2 linked regions of the Kluyveromyces lactis genome follow. The protein of the gene in region 2 binds, or shares a complex with, the protein of the main gene of each other region. Links are inferred from orthologs where the notes say so. Each region holds a gene or a part of one and is shown on either strand. Other genes may lie near its edges.

The links. Proteins that work in one complex are often made in the same cells at the same time.
Region 1: the proteins of STE20 (region 2) and NBP2 are in contact, whole or in part, in an NMR structure (PDB 2LCS), measured with the Saccharomyces cerevisiae proteins. The link is inferred for Kluyveromyces lactis from reciprocal best matches to the Saccharomyces cerevisiae genes STE20 and NBP2. Residues at the interface, in NP_011856.1 of Saccharomyces cerevisiae: Phe470, Ile471, Pro472, Ser473, Arg474, Pro475, Ala476, Pro477, Lys478, Pro479, Pro480, Ala483; in NP_010446.3 of Saccharomyces cerevisiae: Tyr119, Phe121, Glu124, Asn125, Asn127, Glu128, His143, Gln145, Gly146, Trp147, Val149, Thr158, Gly159, Leu160, Pro162, Glu164, Phe165.

The regions. Positions count from the first base shown.
Region 1 is NC_006040.1:1,430,432-1,432,910, forward strand, and holds NBP2 (adaptor protein NBP2), read right to left. Parts: upstream 1,206-2,479; coding exon 522-1,205; downstream 1-521. Other genes in the region: ACL4 (Acl4p), read left to right, coding at 1-369; U2-type spliceosomal complex subunit CWC15, read left to right, coding at 1,646-2,209; SLS1 (Sls1p), read right to left, coding at 2,366-2,479. UniProt on the Saccharomyces cerevisiae protein: Negatively regulates the high-osmolarity glycerol (HOG) pathway through its negative regulation of the HOG1 kinase activity. Mediates the binding between the PTC1 phosphatase and the PBS2 MAP/ERK kinase (MEK).
Region 2 is NC_006038.1:1,190,266-1,194,412, reverse strand, and holds the start of STE20 (mitogen-activated protein kinase kinase kinase kinase STE20), read right to left. Parts: upstream 2,822-4,147; coding exon 1-2,821. Other genes in the region: putative ubiquitin-protein ligase UFD4, read right to left, coding at 3,583-4,147. UniProt on the Saccharomyces cerevisiae protein: MAP4K component of the MAPK pathway required for the mating pheromone response, haploid invasive growth and diploid pseudohyphal development. Links the pheromone response G-protein beta gamma subunits to downstream signaling components.

The DNA of each region.
Region 1 (2,479 bases), on a different chromosome or scaffold from region 2:
TATTACTTGGAAGGGTTCACATATTATTTGATGGCTAAATTAGAACAGTTTAAACAACAAAACCAATCATTACAACTATCTCCTGAAAATATCTACGAATTCAATTCCCACGTCCAAGAATTACCTTTGGATATCAAGAATGAGTCATTGAAGGACATTATTTACGAGGCGCGTGTTTCTTTGAGCTTTGCTTCTAAGTTCAGTGAAAATGCGGAGTCCGACGATGAAATGGCCAAGGAAATAATCCAAGGAGTCCATGGCTTGTTGAATGAAATTGGTGGTGCTCTTGATATAACAGAACTAATGAAACTCAAACGTGGAGAGGAAGTTACAGAAATTGATGAAATCGAAATCAACGAGCTTGAATGATCTAAGAATGCAGGCACGGGCTTCATGTTAAACTGCTTTTGATCAATTCTTTCATTTCATCTTAACGGGACTTTTATTGTAACGTATTACTAGAAAAGTATTTAATTAATATTGCAGCTAATATATAGATATTTAGCGCAGAAAACAGAATGCTATAGATCCAATTTCTCCTTGATATCTTTCGCGAGTTCTGATACGTCGCTCTTTTCATTTAACGTACTGCCTGTTTTTCCGTTTTCAAGAACAGTTCTATTATCATGAGAAACACCATTGTTGTTCGTTATATCAACTGATACTGAATCTTGACTGGGTCGCTGTATACTTCTGTGCTCTTTATCACTATGTCCTTCAGCTTCCTCGTCATCTTCTATGTCTTCCCAATCATCATCGTGATAATTAGACATGCTCTGCGTTATCATTTGAGTAAGATAAAACGGCCTAGGATTCTCATACCTACCGTTGTCTTCGCCATCGTCTTCAATCAACTGCACATACTCTTCCGGTACCAATCCTGTCTTGGATCTATCGTGATTTTCTGCCACTAACCACCCTTGGCCATGCTTGTAACTTATATATACGACATCTCCTTCTTTCAACTCCAACTCGTTATCATTTTCTGGGACAAAAGCATACATCGCTATGGCTCTCTTATTAACGATATAATCATCTGGTAGTAACACACTTTCTCTGTTCCCACTCAATCGAAGGTTGTTCTGATCTTCATCATCTTCTTCAAAATAACCAAAATGTAACGGATTTGATTCGTCATATGCGTAATCTTTTATCGATATGTACCCAACCATATCGTCCTCTTGGTCAACCTCATATTCTGACATTATGATAGTTATGTCTTCTGATGTTATTAGTAAATCTCACCGTCTTTGATCTAAGTTCAAAGCCTCATTCAATATGTGTTCAGTTCTATATTTCTAGTGTGAACGAATGCTCCACGGGAAATGATTAAATGATAAAGTCCTATGTCCTCTTAGAAAAGTTTGGTATGAAATGTAGCTTGCTATATGTAGTTGCCAGTACGACGTTCGTAGTTCTTATTTCTTTGGTACACGGTAATTGTTAACGTAGATTCGCATTTGAAGTTTCAGATTGCTATTTTTTCATATCAAGGCTATAAAGATTGAACATCAACGCACATTCACGAGATTGTTCACAGGCAAAACAGGTGAGCTAATTTAACTGGTACCTGGGATGGTAGATAAGCTTACGTTAGTTTCAGTGGAGTGCTACAGATTGAATATAATATTGACTGTGTTCTGAAATGACTACATCGCACAGACCTCAACTAGAGGCCAGGAATGGGGCAAAGAATATAGAATACATTCCTACTTCGACGCAGCACGCTAGACTTTTACCGGGGCACAAAGAGGTTAAGTATAGAAACACGAAGAAGAGGGTGTTGAATCGTAAAGTAGAAAGTACTCCGAGTGAGGAGGCTAAGAAAAGAATCAAAATAACTGGAGCAGAGGAATGCTCGAAAGATGAAGAGATACAGGCCACGGATAGTAGCGATGAGTACGAGGAAGAGGAGGAGGAGAGTGAAGATGAAGAAGCGCTATTAGAGGAGTGGAATAAAGTTAAGCAAGAAAGATTGGACAAAAAACTGAGAGAACAGCGTGCTGAAATCACAGCAGCTCAAAATGAAGAAGTGACGAAACCGCAAAAGCATGGTGGTTGGAGATCTAACACTGTATTTGGACGTAAAGGTACAGTCAATCAATCGGCAAGTATATCTGAACATAATTCAAATGGGAAGGGAAAATATGTCAATAATATTACTCAAAGCGAATATCATAAGGAATTTATACGAAAGCATGTAAAATAGTTTATGTTAAATATTTTTCTATTATGGAGAATCAATCGACAGGTGTACGTCAAAAACTTAAATGAAGTCTATATATCTGTTCTTCCGCACTATTTACAGGATGACTTTGTATAATTATACATATATGCATTAAGGACCAAAATATTTCGAATGATTTCAGAATTGTAAAACGTCATCGATGAAATTTCTAACGATGTCCTTGTTGATGGATCCGTTAGTGCTGATAAAATCAATAGATGAAGCTTTGCCTCCTAAGCTTCCGCCTTCAAT
Region 2 (4,147 bases):
CTGCGGTTCCTCTGTCCTCTGGATCAACCATTAAACACCAATTTAAGAACATAGCCATTTTATGACTTAAATTTCCAGGATCCTTTAGCTTTGGCGTACCATTGGTAGCGATCAAATATAGAGCTCTTAGTGGTGTCTCATTCAGATATGGTGGTTCACCTTCTATCATTTCAATGATCATAATACCAAGAGACCAAATATCAACCTTTGGTCCATATTCTTTTCTTGATACGACTTCTGGGGCCATCCAGTACGGAGTACCAACCATCGTCGTTCTCTTCAAATTTACCTCGTTAATCTGAGCACAAAAACCGAAATCTGTTAGTTTGATGTCTCCGTTCATGGATAGCAAAATATTGTCTGATTTAATATCTCTATGAATGACTCCCTTTGAATGCAAAAACTGTAAACCCTTGAGTGTTTCTCTAGAGACGGCACCGATTTGCCCTTCAGTCAATATACAGTGCGTAACGACATCAGTCAACGAACCACCTTCCATGTATTCCATGACAACCCATAAATCACCTCTAAATAGGTATGAATCAATGAAATTAACAATGTTGTTGTGTTTGCTTCCTTTCATGACCAGAATTTCATTCACAATTAACTCTTTCTTGGGTTGTTTCTCCAAATTCATCTGTTTTATTGCTACTGAAGCATTTGTGCCCAATTCATACGCTGTGTAAACTCCTCCTGATGCACCTTGTCCGATTTTGATCAGATTCTTGTACAGTTTGCTTGGGTCTCCTGTTGTGCAAATCTCGGTTAATTTTGATTGAATTTGTTGATTCTTTCTTTTCCTCTCTTCCCTCTTTTTTTCCTGGGCCTTTCTTGTCTGGACATTAGAAGTATTCGATTCCTCTTTCACTTCCACAGCAAGCCCGGAAGGAATTGCAGGTATTGAGGATTGTTCCGGTGTTGTAGGAATTGCAGGTTTTGGTGGAGTAGGAGCCGCTCTTGCAGGCAATAAATTTGCTGGTTTTTCTGCAGCCTTTGGAATAGGAGGTAATGGTTGCTCACTTTTCAATGTTGGCATCTTCTTGAATGAGAAAATGCTTGATGACTGAGTATCACTTCTTTGCACTTTTGGTGTTCCATGGCCAAGCGAATTGATTGGTGAAGGGATTTCGACCCTACGGCTAACTGTGGAGGAACCTTGAGGTTTTGGAGCAGGCCGAGTCGGTATGAACTTTTCGTTGTTCACAGTTTCACTGAAATCGTTAGTGAGCAGCGGACCCTGTAAGTTACTAGAGTATGGGGTATCATTGTTTTCATTCGGAAAAGTTGCATCTGTTTGCATTTGCGGAGTTTCGAACTTCTGTACTGATGCAGTTGATGGGGTTCTGAAAGAAGGTGTAGATGCAATGTTTGCACCAGAGCCACCTCCTACTTTGAAAGTCTTGAAGACTTTCTCTTCTCCAGAGTTTTCAGTAACATCTTGGTAGAATTTTACAATATCCATCACAGCCTGGGGATGTTGCTGTTGTTCTTTCATACTAATGCCACTGGAAGTTAAAAGTTTCTCCCATTCATTTGGTAACCCTGTATATTCCCCTGTTTTGGAGTCAACACCTACATGATAAACATGCTTAGCATTATAAGGAGTAGAGATCTTAAATGCATTATTTCCACTTCCATTACCGCTTCCGCTAGAAATTCTTTTCTCTGAGTGTGAGTTCCTCTTGATGTTTTGAACGAATGTTGAGAAAACACCTTTCTTCTTAGTACCGGTCTTCCTCTTAACATCATTAGAGGAGGTGGAGGAATTAGAATTCCTCTGGGAGTGGTCAGGCGTCCCATGCTGACTCTTAACGTTTTTCCTCAGAGAAGAAAACGGAGAAGAAATGGTTCTGAAGGGGGATCTTGATTCTGATACTGGTGTTTGATTTTCGAAAAAGTTATTCACCATTACGGGAGTTTTAATTGGAGGATCCTCATTTGTTGTTTCTGGATGTGGTTCTTCTTCAGGTATTACTTCATGCACACTTACGTGTTTCGAATGATCTGCAGACGCTGTCGATGCCTTGTTGAAACTATCTGTAGATGATAATATCTCATTTAGCGGGGACTCATATACATCATTGGCATCAACTTCAGTTATAGGTGTTGTAATCTTTGGAGAATTTGAGGTTTGTGTGGAATTTAGGAAGTCAGAAGAAGTTTCCAGGGCCCCGCCCATAAGAGAGAGATCAGGTGTCATCCTCCCGCCAGTAGATATTCTACCTATATTTTGGGAGGAACCTTCTATAGTTGACATCGTCTTATCTCCAACAATAGATTCAATTGTCCCTGGCGTCTCCTTCGAAGTCAAATTATTTCCTTCTTCCACTTTTCCTTCTAGATGCGATATTAAATCTGCATCACCTTCCGATATACTTTCACTTAACACAGAACTGGAAGAGACTCTTGTAAATTGTATCGGTTCATCCAAAGTTGGCTGGTTACTATTAAAAATTTCCGAAACATTTGTTGGTACGGTGCCCGGTTTCCCTGGATCCATAGATTTATAATCTGAAAGGTCTTTGACGTAATGATCTTCGTCTGATTCTTGTAATCCTTTCACATCCAAACTCGCTGGTGCACGAGGTAAATCAAAGAGATCTTTTGAGACAGATTGTTCCCTAGTCTCCGTTACTTCTGTATGATCCTCTAGAGTTTGTACTGAAAGATTTTCACGATGTACATCCTCTTGTTTTGAATCTTGATTTTGACTTTTGCGTATGCTACTGGTGTCACTTTCTGTATTGCCACCATTTTCTCTCACGGAAAGCGCATCAAATGTGCCTGGTAACAATTCTTCAGTATATCCAGTATCCGTCATTATATGGAGACAAAGTAGTGAGTGTAGTAGCTTCTATCAAAAAAAAAAGGCCTGTGTCAAAAGATGTCTTGTGGTTAATTCTATCGACCGAACAAAAAGGAAAGGTATTCCGAAAAACACAAACAGGTCTGTAATGATTTCTAGAGCATACAACCGTCAGTAACAAAGCCTGCTGTGGCCGTGTTAATTTCTGTCAGAAAAAAAGCTAGATTACTTTGTTCAAAGAATAGAAGATCAAGTCAGATAAACAATGAAAGAAATGACAAAACGTGCTCTGTAAAATTCTTTCTACCTTCACCTCCTTCTAACTTAAAAACGAGAGCCTGTTGTGTAATTCAGTGTAACGAACGTCTTTTGATTGCTAAAATCACACTCTCGCCAAAACAAACAAATAATGTGTGCTTGTTATTAAAAAGATCCAAAAGAAGATGGTATTACCTGGTATTACTCTCTGAAATACTTGTCAAATCGGCAGAGATAGCCTGATTAATAAAATTTAAAACCTAGTTCTAACACAAGCCACAGTTAAAGCAACAATTGAGCTTGCTCGTTTCTCTAATCTGCTTATAAACATGCATACCATCTGATCTTTACATTCCGTTTGTTTAAACTCTTAAGCTTTAAATTTCAGTTTCAACATTTTCGCCAATCCCAAAGAGTAAATCCTGTCACATGTCACGAAAGTATGTGGTATTGAAATCTTTAGTTAGGGTGGAGTATGGTTAGATCTACAGACATCTCTATGTAGTTATATACATATTCTATGACAATAGGAAGGCTCCGGAACCTTCAGTCATTGCTTGTGCAATACGATCTTTGAGTACCAGTTTATCAGAGTATTTTGGTAGTTTCAAGTAATTGGCGCATGTCATAACGCTAGGTAGGCAATGGTCTGCCGAGATGTTCCCATCTGGGTGCTTCAGGACTACTGTGAATTTGGGTTTTAAGTTTTTGAAACCGCCAAGAGGTAGTTTCGGAGAGCCAGTGATGAATTGTAAGAACAAACGTTTCTGTTGTGTCGAAAAATTCGACAAAATATCTATGAGGTCTGTTATGATTGGAGAATCCATCGAGTAGCCATGGTCTGCATGAATGGATGAGTATAGCGTTTGCACAGACCAATCTTCAGCAACTGCACCAAACAAATCGGATAGTTCTGTCGGAGTTAAGATTAGCAATGATGAATAAGGGAATGATTTCGAAAATCCGTTCCTGAAGGCAGCGAGCTGCATATCTACGCCTTTGCCCAAAAATTGGTCAAAGACACGAATCAAGTACTCTTCCACGTTGAAAGATTCAACTAAGATTTTCGAACCACCTTCCAAC